Linked DNA regions of Lonchura striata. The protein of the gene in region 1 interacts with the protein of each later gene in a biochemical or structural test. Links are inferred from orthologs where the notes say so. Each region holds a gene or a part of one and is shown in the gene's direction. Other genes may lie near its edges. The genes, in order: MAPT, PPP2CB and CSNK1D.

What was found.
Region 2: of the proteins of MAPT (region 1) and PPP2CB, one has a biochemical effect on the other in vitro, tested with the Homo sapiens proteins (2 studies listed by BioGRID). The link is inferred for Lonchura striata from reciprocal best matches to the Homo sapiens genes MAPT and PPP2CB.
Region 3: of the proteins of MAPT (region 1) and CSNK1D, one has a biochemical effect on the other in vitro, tested with the Homo sapiens proteins (4 studies listed by BioGRID). The link is inferred for Lonchura striata from reciprocal best matches to the Homo sapiens genes MAPT and CSNK1D.

What each region holds. Positions count from the first base shown.
Region 1 is NC_134627.1:8,749,594-8,757,403, forward strand, and holds the start of MAPT (microtubule-associated protein tau), read left to right. Parts: upstream 1-3,889; 5' UTR 3,890-3,910; coding exon 3,911-3,956; intron 3,957-5,202; coding exon 5,203-5,289; intron 5,290-6,286; coding exon 6,287-6,373; intron 6,374-7,810. UniProt on the Homo sapiens protein: Promotes microtubule assembly and stability, and might be involved in the establishment and maintenance of neuronal polarity.
Region 2 is NC_134606.1:72,153,133-72,160,942, forward strand, and holds the start of PPP2CB (serine/threonine-protein phosphatase 2A catalytic subunit beta isoform), read left to right. Parts: upstream 1-3,812; 5' UTR 3,813-3,897; coding exon 3,898-3,999; intron 4,000-7,810.
Region 3 is NC_134621.1:12,200,903-12,208,712, reverse strand, and holds the start of CSNK1D (casein kinase I), read left to right. Parts: upstream 1-2,825; 5' UTR 2,826-3,077; coding exon 3,078-3,153; intron 3,154-7,810. UniProt on the Homo sapiens protein: Essential serine/threonine-protein kinase that regulates diverse cellular growth and survival processes including Wnt signaling, DNA repair and circadian rhythms. It can phosphorylate a large number of proteins.

The sequences.
Region 1 (7,810 bases):
ATTAATGAGATCATCGTCCATATTCCTTCCTCTGTCAACTTCTGGGAAAAACACTACTTGGAGAAGTACACAAAGGAGATGAAAAGGAAGTTGCTCATGAATTATGAAGAGCCTTTCAGGCTGATGTTGTTTCACGGTGCTGTCACTCTGTTTTAATTATGCAATTCAGATGGAATGATGCTTTTTTAAAGCCCTGGTTGTGTTTGATCACCTTTCAGAGGTAACACTTAGCTCGTGTTTGTTGAATTTTCATTTTTAACAACAAGAGCGAGTGCTTTGTGCCCTTTCTGATTAAATAACGGGGAAGGAAGATGCTGAGCAGGAGACAATAGCCAGGAGGCTTGGGAGTTACCTGGGTGATCATTTGGGTATTTTGGGGTTATCCTGTGGCTGGCATGAAGGGTGGAGCTGCTCGGTTGGGCTCGCTGGGTCCCAAACCCAGCCAGCATCTCTGCAGGCCTGCACTGTCCTGCTGCAGTGTTCCTTTTTGTGTTTGCTGCCAAGGCCGGGTTTATTTTGGGCTGGGCTGTGTAAATCGAGCCTCTGCTCCAGCCTTGTGACCCCGGGCTGGTCCCTGCTCTGCTCCCGGGGCCGTGCCCGCCGTGCCCCACTCGGAGCCTGGCACGGAGGGCTGGGGGAGGCTGTTCCAGATGTCTGGCACAGGTTACACATCTGGGTGCTCCCAGCTCTGCCCTCTGCCCCTGCCCTCCGTGGGGCACCTTGCTCTCAGCTGGGCTGCACCTGGGGTTTATCTCCCTTCCACTGCAGAGAAACTTTTGGCCAAAGGTGTGCGAGTTTGGGCTGCCTGCCTTAGCGTGGGCTCGGAGCCCTGCCGGGCAGAGGGTGCTGGGGGCTTTCTGTGGGGTTTTTTGGGTTCCCAGGGGCTGCAGGGTGGTGGCTCTGCTGTGCTGCTGGGCTGTTCTGGCTGTGCCCAGTCCTGGTGCCTCTTTGGTGGCCGGGCAGGAATCGCTGCTGCAGACTGGACGTGGGGCTGGGGACGAAGAGCAGCTCTGGGGTGACCTTGTGTGGCCTTCCAGCATCTGCAGAAAATGGGAAACACTGGGAAATACTTCCAAGGACCTGCAGCGACGGGACAGGGGAATGGATTCCAACTGAGAGAGGAGGTTTGGAGTAGATATTAGGAGGATGCTCTTCCCTGGGAGGGCGGGCAGGCCCTGGCACAGCTGCCCTGGATCCCTGGCAGTGCCCAAGGCCAGGCTGGATGGGGCTTGTCCCAACTTTCTGGGACAGTGGGAGGCGTTGCTGCCACGGCAGGGTGGCACTGGATGGGCTTTGAGGTCCCTCCCAACACCAGGAGGGCTTCAGGTCTGGAAAACGAGAGGTTTGGAGGAGCTGTTAATGATGGGATAGGCTGTTGCTTTTTAGATAGTGTCCCTGGTTAAGGAGAATAGTTCTGCTGGGGATGGATAAGGTTCTTTGGGGGGTTTGTGCTTTATCTGCCATGCAGAGGGTGCTGTTCAAGTTTATCTCTGTGCAGCTTTCTTTGCTCTAATTATGCATCACTGAGCCACTGCTTAAAGGCGGGGCTGGTTTTACACTTTTAAGCATATTTTAGAATTTTTTTTTTCCCCTTGATGTTATGTTTTTCTCTGAGAGGGATTTCCCCTTCCCCCACTCAAAAGGAAAAACAAAGAGGATTACCATTATGGACTTCTTTCAGAATTTTCATTCCATCCTTGAGAATTCGAATCTAGAATCTGTCATTTTAATAAGATTTAAATTCTCTTTGGTCACATGAATTCATGACCTGAGTGAAAACCCAAGGCCAAGCTGAGGCTTTCCTCCCTCCCTGTCTCTTGGCTCTGGTGCCAGGTGGTTTTGTTCCCCACCAGGGCACTCGTGGAGCAGCAGGAGGACGCTGTGCTCCATCTGCTGGGAGATGTTTCTGCTCTCCAGAGCGATCCAGGGTCCCCTGAGTGTCTCAGTGATGGACCTCCATGTTTTGGCCGTGCTTTTTTCCCTGTAAGAGGAAGGCAGCTCTTCCTCTCTGTCTCTGAAAAATTGATGGCTGCATCCCCCCGAGCCCCCCGAGCTGCATCGTGCGGTGCCATGGGGGGGTGGGGGCTGGCCCTGCCTGTCCCTGGGCAGCACGGGCAGGGCACAGCACCCCAGTGCTCTGCACAGCCCTGGCCCTTCCTTCGTGCTGGAGAGCCTGGCACTGGCTGGCAGTGCAGGCAGGTGAGCAGCAGCCCTGCCCGCAGCAGCCTCTGCTGAACCCAGCACTGCTGCAGCGCAGGGGCTGCAGCGCTGCATCCTGGAGAAATGCAGGGACTACCCCAGGCTGCATCCTGGAGAAATGCAGGGACTACCCCAGGCTGCATCCCGGAGAAATGCAGGGACTACCCCAGGCTGCATCCTGGAGAAATGCAGGGACTTCCCCAGGCTGCATCCTGGAGAAATGCAGGGACTTTCCCAGGCTGCATCCTGGAGAAATGCAGGGACTACCCCAGGCTGCATCCCGGAGAAATGCAGGGACTACCCCAGGCTGCAGCCCTGCATGCCCGGAGAAATGCAGGGACTTTCCCAGGCTGCAGCCCTGCATGCCCAGAGAAATGCAGGGACTTTCCCAGGCTGCATCCTGGAGAAATGCAGGGACTTCCCCAGGCTGCAGCCCTGCATGCCCGGAGAAATGCAAGGCCTGACGTAATCAATATGACCCTTTGAGCACTAGGAGGAAGGCAGCCATATGTCCAAATAATTAGGGCCCACTAATTAGAGCAAAAATTAGGTATTTAATTCTTTCTTATTTTATACCTCCATTTTTGTGGGTGATTTCATTCCAGTGCAAGCTCTCCAGCCTCCTTGGTTCTCCAGTGCTGTCAAATGGCTTTGTAGCTGTCTAAGGCAGTAATTAAATTGCAGAGTCATCTTGCTAAGGCTTAAAAAAAGCTGGCTGAGAGATCTGGTTACTGGCCCTGGAGTTTCTCTTGTGTGGTTCCATACATCCAGTTAATTTATTGCCAGCACACAAAACCACAAGTTTCCTCCTTGCTGCTGGTAACCTGAGCTCCACTGCTGGATTCAGCGGGCCCTGAGGGTCACGGCAAGCATGTGATCACACTAAAAGCTGATTATTAATCACTGCCAATGGCTGTAATCATACCAGCTCTTAGGAAGGCAGCTGAAAGCACTGTCTGTCCACCCGGCGCGGAGCAGGGGCAGGTAATGGTTGTTGGAGACTTCATTTCCTCTCGCAGATCAAGGCAGTTCGCAGAATCAGCTGGGAGGTTTGGCACCTTTCTGCTCCCACCCCAGACCTGTTTGCTTGGCTCTGTGCTGTGGTGAGGCTCTCTGAGCCTGCAGGAAGGGTTTGGGGTTAAAGCAGGGGCTGTGCTGTCCCCTCTCAGCCACAGCTGAGCGAGACCCTCTCCTCTGAGAGTCCAAAATCCATCTGTGGATAGGCCTGGTGTCCCCCCTCTGCCGCTTTCGGATGGCTTTGAAGATGTGTGTCCCTGCTGGGTGTCTCCACAGGGAGGGGAGGATCCCTTCCCACAGCAGCATCACACCTCCCCAGCAAATGCATCTCTTGGGGGACTGGTTAAACTGGGAAATGCAGAGTTTGGAGCACCAGGAGCCAGTCAGCACAGCCTGCTGCTCGCAGGGAGCTCCTGGGGTGAAGCTGTGTCAGGGCAGTGTCCTGGGTGCACCAGGGTGCTCTTTTTCCTTGGGACATCTTAAACACCCGTGGAATTTCAGTGCAGCTGGCAGGAGGTGCCTCTGTGTTTGTTGTGAGGGATGCAGTGACTGGCACATGCTTTTGCCTGTGCAGGAATGGCCAGACCTTCCCTTTGCTGCTGCTGTGACAGGTTTTGCCTAATGGGTGTTAGTTTTTACTCTCCTTTCCAGGTACCTTTGCTGAGAGGTGGCAGAGCAGCCTCAGGACACCACCATGATGGAGGATCACGCACCTGGCCAGGAAAAGCACTTCTCATCAGGTGAGCACGTCCAGGACGGGGTGGAGGACCTGCCTGGGCCCCTGCTGAGGCAGGGGGAGAGGCAGAGCAGCCAGGGGTGCTGGTGGTGCCAGGGCTCCTGGCAGGGACACTGTGGTCAGCTGGCTGCAGCCAGGGCACCACGGGGAGCCCACGGGGTGCTCCACGTGCACGGTGGCAGCGAAATGCTGCTCGTGGATCTCGCTGCCCACTGAGCAGAAGAACCCCAGACCAGGGGCGATCCCACTGCTGCAGCTTTGCAAGTGTGTGTTTGTGTTCACTCCTCAGTTTGCTAAGAAAGCACAGCACTTCTTTTTATTTGGGGTCACAGCTCGAGGGTGCTGCTTGCTGCCTGCCTTCCTCACCTGCACAGGGACCTGGGGAGAACTGAACAGAGAGCTCTGGGCGTGGGGGCCATGCTAGAGTCTTCCTCACCATATTTCAGACCTGCATTTCTTCAGAAGCTTTTCCTTTCTCATTCCACCGTGCTCCACAGCTGAGCTTGGAAACCCGCACCGCCCAGCAGACCTGGGGGGACTCACTCCTGGCTGTGCTCCATATAAACATCATCTTAATTTCCTTTTCTTGAGGTGCTTTGGACACCTCTTCAAGCAGATAAATGGATGGCCTCTGTCCTGGAGAGAATCCAGAGCATCCATTCATCCAGTAGCGCATTGCGGTCCGGCAGCTCCTCTCAGCTTGTGAAACATCACAGGTTCTCAGGGATCTCACTTCTTCTTTTCCAAATCAGTTTTTCCAGCTCTCATTATTTGATTTGCCTGCACCCTTGCTGAGAGGAGACTTGTGCCTCTTGCCCTGCTCTTCCAGAAGACTTTTGCCACGGTTTCTTGGCACAGAATGCTGTCCTGCAGCAGCCCCGTCACAAACACGGGCTGGTTTGCAGTCCTGGGAGTGCTCAGCCTGCTCTGGGAGGGAGAGGACAACAGGGGCTCAGAAGCTGCACATCTTTCCTCCTTACGTTGCCGAGATCTCCTTGCCTGCTTGTGCCATGCTTTGCTGTTTCTGCCTGCCCGGTTCACTGGGCTTTTCTTTTGCTGGTGGGTTTCCATTTGTTCCTTTCGGCGCTCACACTGGTGCTTTTGGTTGGCATTTCCACGCTTTGCTTGCTCTTGGCTCAGGTGGTTTTACTCTCCAGCTGCAGCTTCTTGCAGCTGTGGATCACAGCTGGTAACCCCCAGGCCCCAGCTCTTAGCCAAGGACCTGTTGTAAGTATGTGAATGTTTTCCAGGCTATCCCCTTCAGATACCAGTCGATGATGGATCGGATGAGCCTGTTTCTGAAACATCTGACGCTAAGAGCACCCCAACTACGGAAGGTGGGAGCTCTTTGACTTTCTGCTTTGGGACCATGCTGGACGGGGTCGTGGTAAACCTCGCCACAGACTCCCCGTGCCGTGTCCTGGGGGTTTCTCAGGAGGAGAACCCCTTTGTTAGTCTCATCACTAGTGGTGTTGGCTGTGCTGCAGAATGAGATAATGAGCCCCAGAGGTGCAGAGTGGGCTGCAAAGCAGGAAAGGTGAATTGTTCCTTGCAGCTCAGGAAGCTGCTGGTGGTTTGCTTCCTGCAGCCTTTACAGGGGCACTGCAGGGCCCTGGCAGAGCAGCCAGGAGCTGCTGTGTTGAGTGGCACAGGTTTGTGTCTGTGCTCCCCAGGTCCTGACTGCCTCGTGGGTAGAAAGGCTCTAACTCCAGAGTGGTCTAGAGACTTGTTCACTGTTGTAATTACCTTCACTTTTTGCCTTCCTCTGGCTGCTTTAATCCCAGGAATCTGCCTTTGGAGACTTGAGGTAGAGGCTTTAGCTTGCAAAATTGTTCTGAAAGGAAGGAAGGGTGGGCAGAGATGCTGAGCAGTCCCAGCCCTGTCCCGCTGGAGGTGTGGGCTGAGCGATTGTCAGGAAAGTGCCTCAAGAAATCAGGACATAAAACCTGTCTGGTGCAGGAGGGGATTTTGTCCTGCTTTCCAGCCGGGCTGGGGCTGCAGGATGAGCAGCCACCCCTCTGGTAGGTGGAGCTGGGTGTCCCTGCGTCCCAGAGCACGGTGCAGCCACTTGGGGTGCTCCGTGCAGCTCCAGGGGAGCTGCTGCGTGCTGCTCCACAGCAGCCGTGTCCCCGTGCAGGATTTAGTGGTGGATTTTTGGGCAGAAGCGTAGGGAGCGTTGTGTGGCAGGGGCCAGCTCGTGGTGTCCCTGTGGCTCTGGCTTTGGAGCCGTGCTTGGCCGTGAGGGAGCCGAGGGCTTCTCCGGGCAGGAAGTTCTCCAGGCCTGCAGAGGGCTTTGCCTCCCAGCAGCTGTGTGAAAGCCGTGTTGTTTTGCAGATGCCACAGCACCTTTAGTGGAGGAAGGAGACCACGAGGATCAGGGTGGTGCGGAACAGCACGGGGAGATCCCAGAAGGAACCACAGGTGAGGGAGACCAAGGTGCAGCTTCATCTCTTGCTGCAGACAGAGCAGAGAGCTGGACTGGTCGGTGTTGTGAGGCAACACCACGAAACCTCTCGCAGGGACGCTGCTCCCAGCCCTGCTTCCTTCTTCTCTGGAGAATTCCTCTCTCAGAGCTGTCCTCTTGCCTTCCCCGTCCTGGGGGGAACTCGCAGCCTTTTCTTCTCTCTTTCTCTGCTCCACACCTGACCATCCTTCTGTCTGGTGTCTCTGTGGTGGCTTTGGCTCCCACCTCCAGGCTCCTCTCTGCAGATCCGGGTCCTTCCCGTGCCAGCAGCCCCTGGGTGCCTCCTGCAGCCCCTGGGTGCCTCCTGCAGCCCCCGGGCTCTGCCCAGCCCTGGCGGTGTCTTTGGAGTGGCAGGTGGAAACCAGGCCACTGCAGCAGTGCTTTTAAGGGTGATGCAGAGCCAGTGAAGTGACTAATTCAGCCTGAATGCCCTGTGGGCAGCCACTGCACCTGGGCCTGGTTTTCCAGGGAAGGATGGGGCCTTCCAGAGGCAGAGCAGGGAGTGACTGTGGCAGTGCTGTGTGTGGGAGAGCAGGATGTGTCTGAAAAATGAGGATGTGTCCCCTGTGCCATAGCCAGTGGCTTTCCCTGGAAGCATCAGGCAGGACCTGAGAAAAGCAGCGGGTAGAAAAGGGCTTCTGCCAGTGCCAAGCACTGAAACAAACTCACAGCAGTGGAATTTCTGTGCTGCATCTGGTCCCTGAGCTGCTGGTGGAGCCCTGGACTGAAGCACAGAGCCTCTGGTGCAAGATCAGACTGTCCCAGGGAGCCAGTGTATCCTGAACTGCTTGGATAAAAATGAGGAAAACAGAGAAGAAGTCCTAGTTTGACTGGAGAACTGAGGCATACCAATAGAATTATTTAAGCTAGTTTGAAAATAGTCATAGAATAAACTGAAGAAATGCTGAGGAAGACAAACCACCATCACTGTGAAGAAAACCTTCTCTTATGCTTCTCTGATGTACCTGTAGTCCTGAAGTTCAGGATTTCTCTATAGATTTGTATCAGGCTTGGAGTTACTGGTCTCAGCCAGCCTTGGCAGGGCTCACAGGTTGGTCACAGACACAAGAAGTGAGCTCAGGTAAGAGACGTCCATGGGCGTGCTGCTGGCCGTGTAAAGGCCACGTGGGGGTAGAAGAGGATCTACATCCGCAAGTTGCCTTGCTCCTTAACAGCCTGTTTTCTGCCTGGAAGAGCTTGTGCTAACCTGCCATTTAGGATGTGGAAGCTGGTGAAACACTGCTCTGGTCTGTAGAGCAGGGGCTGAGCAGATCCACCCGGGTCCTTCATCAGTGTGGGGAGATTTCTGCCCTGCTGCAGAGATCCTGCCCGTTCTGCTGGGCAGCCTCGGCAGGGAGGTAAATTCATTCTCCAGGCACGTGCTTGAACTCAGC
Region 2 (7,810 bases), on another chromosome or scaffold:
ATGACTGCATAATCCAAACATAGGTGGGTGGGCACTGAGGGTCTTGGAGGGGATGAATCAGCTCCTTGCTTTGTGACAAAAATTGGCTTTTAAGAAGAAAAGGAGGTAGAAATTTAGAGTCCCAAAGGCGCCTCCATCTCCTCCCAGCATGGCTCATCTCTGCTGGCAGAGGAGCCACCTCCCAATCCTGAGGTTTTCCAGGTGACACACACTTTGGATGGCGTGAACAGGGCCATCCCCTCCAACCCCCCACCCCAATGCGAGCTGCTTTTTGGACAAAATTAAATCTGAATATATTTTATATCGATTTGAAAACAAAGTCTGATATTTACCCCTGTTCTCAACTGAATTTGCATATTGTTGTTTGCCACGATATTTGTTCTGTCTTCAAATAAATTTGCTTACTTGTGTAGTCTTAACTGTCTGCTCGGATTCTTACCACCATATTTGCCCCTGCTCCGAGATGCCTGCCTCACAGCTCTCCTTTGAGCACTTCCCAGGGAGGCGAGAAGGAAATGTTTCCAGGAGGGGGAATCATTTCAGCCTGTAAATGTTTTTCTCTCCGTTATCTCCCATTCATCTCCCCGGGGCTTTTCAATTTGATGCCCTTTTCCCCCCCAGTCTTCCATCATCGGCTCCTTCTATCCGGGTAAGCGCGTGGCAGAGGAACGGCTCTGCCTCAGCCCGCCTCATTTGAGCCATTGAATTGTTGCTGACACGTTTTTTCAGGGTGAGGCATTTCCGACGGCAGCGGTTTGCATTTGGGAATGGAGGGATTTATGGCCGCCAGCGGCCCAGAGCTCCGGGCATCGGCGTCGGCATCCAACGCCGGCTCTTCCTGCACATCGCATTAGCCAGACGTTGGCATCACTCACTGGAGACGTCGCGGCGGAAGGCAGTGCCCTCAAAAGGCTGGAAAACCGATTTGCACACGCGTTTCCAGGGAGGTAATCAAATCAGCCTGCAGGTTCAATAAAAGGAATAAGCAAATATTCCAGATTCGCCTGCGTTTGCATACAAAACCTGTTGCAAGGTTTGCAGGTTTTGAGGTTCCTCCCCCCCCCCTCCCCAAAACAGCTATTTGGGGATTAAAATTGTTCTGGACTGCTGCTACAGGAGGACATTTTTTATTCCCTAAAAGATGCAGCTGTGTCTGAGAGGGACATTTCAGGAGGATTCTTGTGAGGGTTTGGTCACTCTCCTTTCTTTCGGAATCCATCCCTGTGCATACATTACGTCAACAGAGTCCATTTTCAGAGATTCATCTCCCTTCTCCTGGCATCATTCCCCCTCTCTTTGCCTCTTTCCTCCCCTCTGACTTCTCCCTGGCTTTTTTTCCCAGTTTATCAAGATGTTGTAATGTTGCCTGCTGCTCCTCACAGTGCTGCCCATGGTGATAGATGCCACCACGGGAAGGAGGGAGACAAATCCTGTGGGGAAACGCTGGGAGAAAGAATCCAGGCTTCATGGAGGCTGCTGCCAGGTAGGTCTGCCTCCCATCCACTGCAAAAATGCTGTGCCTGCACTCCAAAATGTCTTTTAGGGATCCTTATCCTCATACCCCTGGGTGGTCTGGGGCTCCTCTGCACCCTCAGGGGGGGTCAGGTGCCCTTGGAGCAGCTCCCACTGAGTTTGTGCTCCCTCAGCTGCTGGCAGAAGGAAGAACTTTACTGATTTATTTTATTCATTGTGGGGGTGGGTTTTTTCCCCTCTCTAAAACACAGGAATCCAGCACCCTTTGGGAAGCAGTGGATAAGCCCAGGCAGTGCCTTCCATAGGCAATGGTGGCCATGAGTAATTTTTTCTGCCTCTGTTTCTCCTGTGTTTTGTATCACACTCTAAAAAGCCGAGTTTCAGTGGAAAAGTCACAAGAATAAGAAAGCAAGGTACCCCATGGGGGGGTTTAATGTTACACAGCCAACAGTAATGTGTTTTTTAATAAAGTAGCCTTTCATGCCACTTCACCAGCATTGCCTTTTTAGAAGGTTCTAGCAGAGAGATGATGAGATTTTAGAGAAGGTGGTGGAAAATCCTGCCTTCATTAATTCCCTGTCGCTGAGGCTTGTCAGTTTTCCCTGCCAGGGAGCCTGATGAATGTCCCCCTCTGCTGCCGGGAGATTCCGCAGGCTCTGTCCCTGCCACTCCTTTGCAGGAAAATCCCCAGCTCATCCCAAGAGCTCCCTCTTTCCAGCAAACCACGTCGTGTTGCTCTGAGGAAGGTCCTGGCTCAGGCTGTGAGATTTTGCTGGAGCTTTGCTGAGCACCTGCCATCGGATCGATACCTCAGAAACCTCTTTATTCCTGACCGGGAGCCAAGAGAAATATCTCAGCTGGATCTTTCCATTTAAGCGTCGCCTATTAAACATTTTAATGGTGGCAAGGAATCAGTAAATAGAAACTTAGCACCAAAGCGTGCACATCCATGTGTCCGTGCTTTGTTTCCTCAAATTAAATCATGGGGAAACCTCCAGAAACTGAAAGACAGAATAAAAGCTACTCAGCATTTGTTTTAAGGCTGGCCTCCTGAGACTCAGGATGCCCTTTTTTGGGTCATTTTGGACAAGCCAGGGATGATTTTTATTGGGGGTGCTGCTCTCCCATATGCTCCGGGCTGGGAAGATTTATTGTCCAATGCCACGAGGCAGGATTTGCCTTATCCCATGGCCGTGCTCTGCTGCAGTGCCACAAACATGGAAAATATGGTTAGAAATGACCTTCTGGAAAACCAATCAGCAAATAAAACATCCAGAGGAGCATGAACAGTTCCTGGCAGCTATCTTTCCTGGGAACTGGACTGGCAAGCGATTGTCCTCCAGAACAGTAGCTACAAAGCTGTGTTTTTTGTAAATTGTTCTCTTTTACTTTTTATAGCTGTATTTTCGGTTAGAAAATTCACTTTAGGGACACAATGTTGTGAATCCTTTCATTTTCTTCCCTCAGTTCAGGGTGAATTCCTCAAGTCCATCTCTTCTATCCAAAGGAGATTAAGGGACCTGTGATGGCCATGAGTGTTCCTGGTCGGACAGCCTGAGCAGCTCCTCAGCCTTCCCATCTGACATGAAAAAAACACACCACGTGGACTTGATCTATTTTATCCTGCTAAAAATCCCAGGGAAGTTTTCCCTCAGGGGTCTCCTCCAATCCCAGTCCTTTCTGCCTGGGCTGGGCACTCCGGGTTGTGGCAGTGTCGTAGCCTCAGTTACTGCATCTCTGTCACGATATTACTGCTCCATTTGGGTACAGGGGACACAGCAGAACGAGTCCAAAGCAGATTATATAAATAAAGAGCAGCAAGGAGGGATTTCTGCAGGTCTGTCACAGTTTAAAGCTGAGGGCGAGATGAGTGCCAGACTGTAGCAAATGTATTCATTTTGACTGCTTATATTCACTAATCATGTGTCATATTTAGTACATCATCGTACACGCGCTCCTGTAGCGATTACTGCTCCACAGTATTTCACGGGAATATGGCGAAAGGAATTAATACCGCGCCAGACAGGGATTGTCACATTCCCGGGCCCTGCTACCAACGCTTGCGACTCGACTCCGACAGCGGGCGCAAAACCTTTGATTTAATCCTTTTTCCCCGGCGAGAAGGGAGCAGTTTATTCCTTTTTCCTGCGGCGGGGCGAGCGCGGCCGAGCGGAGCCGGGAGGGGGCGTGGCCACGGCGGGGGCGGGGCCAGCGGGAGGGGCGGGGCTCTGAGGCCGACTCCGCGCGCCGGAAGCGGCGGCGCGCGGCCGTGGGCGTGGCCGGAAGTGCGCAGCAGCCGCGGCAGGCGGGGGGCGCCGCCATTACGCGGAGCGGAGCAGCCCCGAGCGGGCCGCGCGTCCCCGGCCGCCGCCGGCACCCACAGGCGGGCCCGGGCCTCGGGGGGCCCGCCCGGCCCCCCTCGCCATGGAGGAGAAGGGCTTCGCCAAGGAGCTGGACCAGTGGATCGAGCAGCTGAACGAGTGCCGGCAGCTGAGCGAGAGCCAGGTCCGCAGCCTGTGCGAGAAGGTGAGTGCGGGGCCCGGACGTTGGGAGGGCGGGACGGTGCCCGCGGTGTGTCCGGCGTTGGGAGACCGGCTTGTGGCCGGGGGGATACCGGGCTCTGGGGGGCGGGGTGGTGCCTGTGGAATACCGGGCGTGGAGAGAGCGGGGTGGTGCCTGCGGGACAGCGAGTTTTGGGAGGCAGGGATGCGGCTGCTGGGATGTCGGGCGCTGGGAAAGCGGGCGGTGCTTGTGGGGTGTTGGCACTGGGAAAGCGGCTGGTGCCTGTGGGTTTTGGGAGAGCGGGATGGCGCCTGTGGGATATCCGCCATTGGATCTTTGGGATGGTGTCTGTCAGAGTGGACGTGGGGTGGCCGGGGCGCTCCCTCTGGAGCGTCCCGCGCTGGGACACCGGGGTGGTGGCCCTGGAGTATCCGATGTCCTGGTGTCCTACACAACGTGGAGGAGCCAGGCGCTGGAAAATCAACCCCGAGTCAGTGAGGAAGCCCACTGACTTCCGAGGTGGGATCTCGGGAAGCAGAGGTGAGCCGCAAACAGGCTCGCAGCCTGCTGAGGCGACCAAAATAGAAAGAGGAATGGTCGGATAAAGGACACTGTCTGCTGTTCTGGGCTGCGGTATGGACAGGCCTTGGCAAACGCGTGCTTGGATTTGTTTAGTGGGCACTGGGAAAAACCTTTTTTTCCCATCGGGGGAAAGGTCCTTAGACTTGTGCTAGGTGTTGTCTGAGCAGTCCAGTAGCAGTTTGTGAGCACTCCCTTAGCACTGCAGTCTGTGACCAAGGGAAGATTTTCCTTGGCACGTTCTTCCAACAGTGATCCTGACACTCCCTAACCACCCCCCCCCACACACATTTTCTGGTTTCTTCCTTTTTGTTTTCTCAGTCCTGTGCTGGAGCCATCCGTTTGTTTTGTGCCTCTTTTCTCCAGAGCTCCATCAGTTATGAGGGAGCTGTGGCTCTTTAGGACGCTGGAATTGTGGCTGCTGTATTTTGGGAAGCTGAAGGCTGACAGGAGAGCTCAGCTGTAGGTGGGGAGGGTGTTTGTCCTTCAGGAAGCAGGTGACAGGGAGGTGTGTCATCTGTCACAGCACCTCGTTCTTCCAGGCTGCTGGAAACGGAGGGAAACGGCTGGGGCATGAAGGAAACACTGTGCCCTGCACTGACTTGGCTTGTTTAAGTTTTGGGGAGTGGTTGTGTCACCCAGGAGAGGAGCTTACAAAAAACTCTGGGTGTGCAGCCCTGCCACAAAGCTGGTTTAGTTGGTTTCCTTGAAATTATATTTGGAGGAATCCTCTTCTCCAGAACACTTTGTAACACTCTTGTTTTTGGGGCTGATTTCAGAGACACTCAGGACAGTAGTACCTTTTGCCTCAGGTTTCAAGTTGTGGAAGAACTCAGTCCTAAAACAAAAAATCAAAATGAAGGGAAAAAAGAAAAGAAAACAAAACAAAAAAACCACAATGAAATCCCAGAGCTATCTGTGTGGATCATTTTTGGTTTTAGGTAGTGGCGTAGAGGGCAGTGCTGAGGGGAGGATTGGACACAATGAAGGTGTGCCCAGTGATTGTGCACTCGTAAAAGTTGTTGAAATTTGCAGCTGTGGCAGTGACATTCTGTCCTCACCTGCCCAGTGGCAAGCTCATTAGGCAGCTGATCAGCCCCCTGTGGCTCCTGCAGGTGAGGGAGGTGCTGTTCCTCAACGTGATAACCTTGTTCCCATTCTCTTGGTGTTTAAAAGGGAAATTAGCTCAAATCCTACAGAAATTCAGAGGCTGATAGAAGGATTAATTCTGGTCACTGTTCAAGCTTCCACGTTTGGGGTGCAGGTGAGGGAGTTGAGAGCCACCCTGCTTAATCCAGGCAAAAGGGTTCTTCACCAAGATGATCAAATGGGCAATGGAAGAAGGCAGGAAAAGGCTGCCTCCTGAATTAAACAAGCAGCCATCCATGACCATCCCTCTCCTTGCAGCTTATCTTTCCTCTCCTGGTTCCTTGGAGGTGTGAGAGGGGACACAGGAGATTCCCTGTGTTGTGTCATGGCTGGCAGTGTTTTATCACTCTGTTGGTGATGTTCATCCCGGGGGGTGCTGGATCAGGGAGCACCTTAGCAGAGGCTCTGGGTGCCTCATTCCTGAAGGGTGAGACAGCTCCATCCCTGCCATCCCTCTGGCTTCCATCTCACTTGGCTGGTTGGCATTCCAGCCAAGCTCCCTGAGGTTCATAGCCTCAGCCCACTTGTTGGTACAGTAGTTTGGTCTGTGGCCATTGGTGGGATGAAGGTTCAGGTGAATTTGGATCCCCAACTCCACGCCTGGCTTCAGGTTCCCAGAGAACGAGCCTCTATGGGTCAGATCAAGCTGAGGGAATCAGTTTTCCTGAAGGAATGGAGTTTCTTCTCTCTCTGAGGCTCTTCAGAAACACACCAGGAGTTGAGCACAGACAGACAACCATTGGTTCAGTTTACTTAATGCAAGGGAGTTTTATTTAACAAAAACACCTAAAGACTGCTGCTTTTTTGTCCTGACCTGGATATGGTTTTCATCCAGCACAAGTGGGACAGATGCACAGGAGGCTGATACCATTAGTCACTGTTTTCTGCAACAAAGGTAGCTAAATTTTGACTTCTAAGTCATAGTTATTTATTAGCCTCCTGGATTAAGTAAGTGCTGATGATGCCAGGCAGCCTGCTTGCATCAGAGGTTTTTATTTTTGCTTTGTAATAGTGCTTTTTATTTTAAGTAATTTGATTTCAATGTTCACGCTGCAGGCAGATGCGCTGGTTAGTCACTGCTTTTCTGGGGTGTTTTTATCGATGCTGAGCATTTTGCAAGCCTTGTTCTGCATGAGAAGATCATCATGTGAGGGCAAACTGGGGCTCCCGACCCTGATGTAAACTGGCTCGGCAGAGTTCAAATGACAGCCTGGATCTGTCCACGTGCACCGACGACTGTCCACAGCATGAGCTAAAATGGGCTGCAGGGGAACAGCTGCTTGGCAGCGGAAGGAGCCGCTCCTGTCACCTGCCAGCTCCTCCTTCCTCATCAGGGGAAACTTTTGGATTCTCCTAGCACCAACGTTTCAGGTCGTGGGCTGTCCCCCATTCCTAGGGTAGGTTTAAAGTGAGCCCATTTGCCCTGTTCCTGTGGAAAAGGAGCACTGCTGAGCTCCAGCTTGGAACAAACCCCTGCCTGTTGCTTTGTGCAACAGCCAGAACACACGGAGCAGCTGTTTTGTGGGTTTATATTTGTCTCTCCCAGAGGGTGGAAGCTCTCAGAAGGCACTATAAATGCTTTTAAAGACGTGCAAGCAGAATTTGAGTGCTACTACTGCACTCAAATACAACATGTTCAGCAGTTCCCAGTCATGCCAGAAGTGCAAGGCAGAGCCCAACTCGTCAAATCCATGGGCAGGATGTGACTTTAAGGATCCGTCAAGTTAGGTTCTGTGCAGAGAGCATGCTGGATGCAGTCCAAACTGCTTGGGGTGTAGTTACTCCTTCCAAATACATGTTCTACCTAAAAGAGGCAAGGCAGCAAGCACTGGAATGGAAACTCAGGCATCCTCAGGAAGCCCACAGAGGGTATCATTTGGAAGCGGTTCCCTTCTGGCAGCACAGGGTGAGCCTTAGCTCATCCTGAGCTAAGGGATATGGCAGGGAATACCCAGATCATCACCTGCTGGTGATTGCTCAGTGTTGGTGATCTTCCAGCCCTTTTGTTTGGATCAGATGGAGCCATCCTGTGGGTGTTCCCTGTGCCTCAGATGTGCCAGGAGCGCTGTTCAGCATCAGTCAGTGAGCTGCAGGCAGCACAACAAAC
Region 3 (7,810 bases), on another chromosome or scaffold:
CCCCCCTCCTCTGGAGCCCGGACTGTGGGCTCCCCCCTCTGCTGCCCCCCCTTCCCCCCGACCCTGAGCCTGGACCATACCTGCAGGGGAGCAGATGAAACTCACTTTTCAAGTCTCAAATCCCTGATTAATTACGTAATTAAGTTACTCTGTTCTGAAACCAAAATACACAGCTAAGAAAAGATGTATGAGAAAAATATATTCAATAAAGACTGGTGCTTTCCCTTTCAGGTTTTTGATTTGCTTTTCGACATGGAGAAGAGCAGAGCAGATGACTTTGAAAAGAGGATTATTTAAAATGTCAGGGGAGAAGAGGAGAGGGAAGGTCTGAAGCAATGAAACAAAGCTCTTTTGATGTTGAACCAGAGCACTGAAGTCATCAGTGCCCTGGATGGCCCAAGGACTCTTCCATCTCATTGTCCACACAGAGAGGAGGAGAAACTGGTCTGAGACAGGCCATCAACTTGAAACCAAGTGATTGAGTTCAGTCAAGAGCCCTCAAAGTGAAACAACTCTAAAATGAGCAAAAATGAGTCACCTTCAAAATCAGCTGTGGGACTGAAATGTTTGGGAGCTCTCCAGGTGGAGACTTGGGGCAGCCCTAAAGATGAGCAGATCTTGCTGTGCCCAGGCTGATTCTTGTGTATAAAAGCAGTGATCCCTACCCTGGGTGGAGGCTCTGACTGCTTCAGAGACCCTGTAGCACTTTCTGCTGCACAGCTGAGCAAAACTGAGCAAAATCCAATTACATGAGATGCTTCCACACTCCAGAGACCACAGGGCAGGCGGATTATCAGAACCAATCAGAACAACTGTAAGTGAAGCCATATTTGATGCAGTTGAAGGCTCTGTTGCAAAGGACACTCTGCCAAAGTGAGTTATTCCGCAATTCAATCAATCTTTTCCCTGAGGGCTCATCAGAGAACAACAGAGGAAGGAAGAAAAGAGACTTGTTGTCAATCATTGTGCACACTGTAAGAAAGAGAGGCGTTTGAAAAGGGACTGTCCGCAGTTACAACACAAAACTCCTCTCTCGTGGCCATCACCGATGATCACTGAGGGGGACCAGAGGATTCTTTCCCAGCAGAACATCTGGTCACAGCTAAGCTGGGAAGGGAGGAGGTCAATGAGGAGGTAGAATTTTTTAGTGGCTATAGGAGCTGGTTGCTCTGTGCTGAATACAGTAAAAGGAAACTTGAGTGACGATTCTATAACAATCATTGGTGCAACGGGGAACCATGAAACTCAGCCATTTTTCCAGCCCATTGATTTTAAATTAGGAAAATAATGGGTGACTCCCCAGTTTTTGTAGCTACTCATTTTACCTAAGCCTCTCCTTGAATGATTTACTGGAAAACCTGAATGCTAAAATCAAGATTAAAATGGCAAAATGCAGGTTATTACTCCAAAATCTAATTATATGGAAGCTTCTGCTTTTGCACTACAATCTTCAAAGTCAGATGTGATCCATCTGCCATTTGTATCACTTGAGGATGCAGTAAATCTGGTAGTCTGGACTGGAGAGGAGGTGCCCCAGTGACCCAGAAATGCAGAGGCTGTAAGAAACAAATTGAAACCCTGACAGGACCAGTAAGGCAAAAGCAATACCCTTTGAGAAAATAAAGTTGTAAGGGGTTATTATCCCTTGGATATATTTATAAAAGATTTATAAAAGAAAAGAAATATTAGATTTATAAAAGATAAATTTATAAAATAAGGCCTGTTGAACAAATATGAATCCAAATTTAATAGCCTTATTTTGCCAGTTAAGAAGGCAAAGGGAAAGGACAACAGAGAATAGCCAAGGGAAAAATGGGCTGAGGGACAGAGAGGGAAGAAATTAAACATTAGGGCAGGGACCTGGAATGAGAGCATCCAAGAAAGAAAAAGTGTACTTAGAATATGAGAGAGAGAGAGGAAATAAAAGTTGGGGGGGACATCACAAAGGCCAAGAGGGTATATGGGTAGAATTCTAAAAAATTGGAAGACAGATAAATGGAAAAAGACAAAAATATCAATGGATTGAGATAGAAGATGAAGACAAGAGAAGTAGGGAAGAGGACAGAAGTCCAGAAAGCAAAAGAAAACAGAGAGATAGAATATGAGAAAAAGACAAGAGCCTGGAAAACAGGAGAGGGAGAGGTGCAGGAAAGCAGAAAAAAATACATCAGCAGGAGAAGGGTGGTAGGGATGGGATGCAGAAGAGGGGCAACATGGACTAATGGGTCCAGGACTCACCACAGCTCCCACTTACAGCTGCTGGGGGAATTTGACAGTTCAGATGTGTCTTTGTCTCTCCCTCTCCATCCCTTACTCTGTACTTCCAGAGACTCAGCTGTCAGCCACCTAAGACATCAATGTCTTACAACTTTTACAGTATGAGGCTTCACAAATACACAGCTTCACATGTGCACACACTACATGGTTATACATACAGGCCCTGCGGTGCTCTGCTTAGCACGACACTTATTAGACATTCTTCCTCACCCGGAGAGACAGAGGAGATCCCAACACTCCTCCCCAGCAAAAATGACATGGTTTTCCCCTGAAATTTGCGGGGTCACTTCTCAGACTTTGTCCCTGCACCACTCTCCCCCTCCTCGCCCTTCCGCCTTCACGATCAAAGGGGCGCTCCTCGGAACGCAGTGCTGCCGGAGCTCATCTCCACCGCGGGGACGACGACGCCACACACACCGAGAAGACTGCCGACCTCATTCGCGGCCCGGCAGGTGGCAGGGACGGCGCGGTGAGACGGGGCACCAGCGCCGGACGGCAGCCACGCCCCGCCCGGCGCGCGCCGTCCCTGCGGCAGCGCGCCCCGCCCCCGTCGCTAGGGAAGTGAGGTCACGCGGGATGGTGGCGGGGCGCCGCAGGGGCTGAGGGGCCGATCGCATCGGGAATCCGTGTCCATCTTGCTCGGGAGCTGCGGCGACCGTCTTGCCTGTCTCCTTAGTATCGAGCGGCGAGACCAAAGCCGCGATGGCATCCGAAACCGCAGGACTGTGAGGCATCAGAACGAGAGCCAGCAGGCCGGGCAGAGCAACAGAACGGTGTCGTGAACGACCCGAGCTGCCGCCATGGAGCTGAGAGTTGGGAACCGGTACCGGCTGGGCCGGAAGATCGGGAGCGGCTCTTTCGGGGATATCTACTTGGGTAAGGAGGATGGCTCGCAGGGGATTTAGTTGGCCGTTTTCTGGGTGTGTGGAGAACATCGAGGGCCTAGCCGGGTCGGGCAAGTAGCTGGGCTAGGGACACAGCAGCAGTAATTTAATATTTCGTTGACATCATGTCCTAATTTGGATAGTGCGGAAATCAGGAATTCTGGTTTACTCGGCTGCTTCTCTTCTCGTTGCTGTCTAGTGACCTTGGGCACCGTTCGAGTCTGTAAAATGGGCATAAGGGTAAAAATCGCCTCGTCTGAAAGAAAGGAAGGGAAAAAAACAAAATGATATAAACCCTAAAAACCCCACAACCCACCGCATTTGGAAAAACGTTTTGGGGAAGAAACGTACCAGGGTTAAATATCGCTGCAGTGAACTAGGAAAAATTGTCAGAAGAATGTTTATTCTACTTTGAGGCCTAAAAAAAATCACACAAATACAAGTGTTTAGGTTGCAGTAAAAAACCTTTAAATCCTTCAAATAATCCTCGTAGTTTGGCAAATCCTGTTGCTGACCATCACCTAACCGTGATCGCTCTACAATTGTAAAACGTACAGGATTGGAATTCTCTTTGCCAGTCCCTTATTATAGTTCTCTAACATAGCCTACTGCTGCTATTGTTTATGACAAGCTCAGGTAGTGGGTGCAACAGATTTTGAAAGCAGGTATTTTTAAAATGCTCTACATATTCGGCAAACTCTCAAGCCATGTGAAGTGGGTTCAATCCAAAGAAATATGAGCATTATGTCTCATCCAGTAGATACGAGTATTCTGCTTTTGAAAATTGTGTTAACCTAGAAGAGCAAATCAGGGAAGGGTGGGTGGGGGAAGGTGGAAGTTGCAGGGGCTAAGGTTCATTGACTGTGGAAGATAAAAATAATGTCACTTGCTGGCTTATGTGGTACGTTTGGCAGTGCATGCAGTATGAGATGTGGGGGTTGTTTTTCTATACGTGTTGCAGTGCACAGCTGCCATTCCAAAATAATTTTTTACTTAAAGCTGCTTGTTTACAGATCATGAAATACTCATTATCCATTAGACATATCATATGCCTGATGAAAAATATGCTATTTTAACTGAAGGTATGTGATTGTCTAGAGTCAGAGAACGTGATTCTTCCTTTCTGCAGTGCATGTATAGAAGATTGAAGATGTGACTATAGAAGATTGTCATAAAGCTTGTGCAAAAATTCTTGTTAGCTTCCATTTGGATTTTGGGGGCAATTAAGACAGCAGTTAAAATCTGAAAAGTCTTAGATAATTTGAATAATTTAAACTTTTGACTACTGCTCAGGTAAATCAGATTGTAATACAGTATTAATATCAAGTGCAAGTGAAATAAACGTTTATGTGTCACTTTTATCTCTATGAATGCAGCTTACACCAGTGAAGGTGCACAGAAAGTAATAGTTTGCTGTATGCTAGTGTATATATTAATGCCATACTGAATTCTGTGCAATAAATCCTGTGAGTTTTACATTTTTTTATTTCTAAACAATTGTCCTGGATTTACTCTCAAGGCTTACTGCAAATGTCATGCCATTTACGTGGAAGCATGGCTCAGGCATGGAGCTAGCATATAAGTATGTGAATGGAAGATCCAGCTGGTGGCATGGTTTTATTTTCTCAGGGGAAATTATTGTCTTTCAAGAACTGAAGCGTTTTATAGAGTCCCATTTGCTTTGCCTACAATTATCTGGTAGAACAGATGTTTGAAAACTGGCTTTTGTGATAACGAAATGTGGAGTTTTAAAAAAAATCCAGTTACTGCTCTGCTGTTCAGACTGTACAGTAGACATAAGTGTCTTAAAATAATTTATAATGTTATTTCAGAAGGCAGTATTTACTTTAAGTAGACGTGCCTTCTGATAGGCCTCAGTGAATTTGTAGATTATTTCAGCATACATTCCCAGCTCAGTTTTATGCTTTGAAAATGAAGATTTGACTATTTTTGCCTGCTTCCAGTCCCCAGGTTTTGTCTCAAATGCAGCTACAAGACATTTCAGAGTAGAGAGGAGGGGCGTCCTCTGTTTTCCCACCCTTACTCTTTTACCCTACTTTGGAATAAGAAACCAACAACATTGTTAGGAGCATGGTTCTTTCACATTCTTTCTTCTTCTTTGTACCTCAAAATTTATCTTCTGGAATTTGGAATGGGGGTCTGTGGGACAGAATTTTTATTTGTAAGGCACTACTGTAAATAAATAAGCATGGAAAACTTAAATAAAATGAAATTTAAGAGTTTACCTATGTTACCTTCCAGGGGAAGATATGAAAGAAATTGATACCTAGATACTCTAAATAGTATAAAAAGTGGACAGGAGTGAATGGATCAGAGTAAGCGTTTATTTTGTTGCAGGGAGCATGAGGTCAAGTAGGAATGAGTCATAGAGTAGTAGTTGCAGTGTTTTCATGGTTTCTTGTGTTATGCATGTATTTTTCTTAGGAATGAGTTTTAGGTTGTAAACTAATTCAAATAATTTCCAAGGCCTTCCTTAGGGAAGAGGACTTGACAATTACAAGTACATAAGAGTTTTGAATTTAAAAAAAAAAGCTTTCACAACTTTAGTCTTTCTTTTTCAATTAGAAATGGTGATGTCTCATTATACAGCTTGTTACTACTTTTTAATGATTCCTTTTATAGAACTGCTGCTTCTTAAATATTATTACATATTCCTTAAAGGAAGCTAAGCTTTTGGTGGAATACAGGACACTGTAAAATTTTAGAAACTTTTGTCTCAGGTTTAAGTTGTAAACAAAAGTCCCTTCTTGGGGGTAAGCACTGGATTGCTTGGCAGAATGATTTGCATTTTTGTGCCACTCTCATTAGTTTTGCTGGACTCAGAAATATTAATTGCATTAATAGTACAAAATCTCTTGTCTTGGAGGAGAGGGCTTACATAGAAGTGGAGTTTAGGCTAAAGATCTTGGCTTTCTTAGGTGGTAAAACTTCTTAGGAAGAGAAAATAGGCTGAGAAGTGACCTAGCAGATCAAGACCATGGTCTGTCAAGTAAGTTTAATGGTGCGTTGAGGAGGACTCGATCCTGATAATACAGGTTTTGATCCTCCTACACAGTTTTTGCGTTAATCAGCCACAGAGGACTGCAGCTGTCTTTAGAGAGAGATGTCTTTCATTATATGGAAGTTTGTGTCTGTTTTGGATCAACAAAGATTTTTTAAAAAGGCAAACCAACCGGAACCCCAAAACAACCCCATTGCTGTTTTTCGCTTATCGGTTAATATGGTCTTCTGTCTACACCTTCGTTATAGAACTTGGGAGAACAAGAGATGGTCAAGAAAGGTCAGGAGTTGTGTGGTTCATTTGTGGTGGGGAGGTCAGTATTAATAAGGCCTGCTTCCTTGTTTTTTTGATACATGCTTTCAAATCTCTGGGTTGATGTTCACCAAGATTAATTTAAGTCCACCAAAATAATTCACTCATGAAGTGTGAAAAATACTAGATTACATATTGAAGAGCTTTCAGTTGCTGCGGCTGTACTGTGTCCAAAGTAACAATCCAGGATCCTGTCGCCTGTTATGCTAGATAAATGTCTTGGTTTGACAAGATAGGAGTCTGTGAAGGAGGGCAAAAGCCTTCTGTGCAATGGAGAAGGTAAACCCCCTCCCTCCGAATTACCAGGATTTTTAAATTAAAAGGCTCTCAGGCAAAGATATGGGAATGGGAGTAACAATTCTTTACTAGGAGAAAACTAGATAACAACTTAAAAAGGCAAATGCAATTGGTACAAACAAAACTAGTGATAAAGTCCACAACCTGAGGATTCGGGGTGTTGGTGGCAGTCCGGTTGAAATGATAGCTGCTCCTCTTGCAGTGGCTGATGAATTGCAGCTGAAGTGGTGATCTTTAGAAGGGTATAGTTTTCTCTGAAGATCTGGTGGCAGTTGGGGCAGTCTTCCTCTGCGCCGGGGCCGCCTCCCAGCTACGCCGCCACTGCCTCACCACGCTCCAGCTGCTTCTCTCGGGAGTGCCGCCAAAGGAGCTGCTTCTCTGGGAAATCCCGCAAAGAGAGAGAGAGCTGCTTCTCTGGGAATCCTGTAAAGAGAGAGGGCTGCTTCTCTGGGAATCCCGTAAAGAGAGAGAGAGAGAGCTGCCCTGCCTCCCCAAAAAAGGTACCACTTTATACAATAAAAAGAGTGCTTGGCTTCCCCCTCTGGGTGGAGCATCTCACTATGGGATGGTGTTACGTTACCAGCCCTGCGGTGAATCAGGCAATGGCCCATTAACAAACCATTACCCCTTCGGAGCAAACCATTGTTCTTGGAAGAGATAACAAACCTGCCCAACCTCCAACAGATGGCAAATAGGATACAAGCTTATCTTACAAACCAGGACAGTAAAAAAGAGTCATATGTGCGGCCTTATTTTTCTTTTGCATTTTTACAGTGGATGGGCTTGAGTTGTGCTTATTGTATCTAGAGTGAGCTTCATATGTTTTGTTGATTTTCAGGGTAAAATGCCTAATAAATACCTGCTGGGGTGTCCACTCTGAGAAACTCAGTGTTCCGGCAACACCACCTTGATACCCATATGTGCGTACAAATGGAAAGACATTTTACTAATGTAGAAAAAGACACATAGTTTTGCGTGAGCTCAGATGATTTCCTGCAGTATCAGTTCCTGCCCAAGT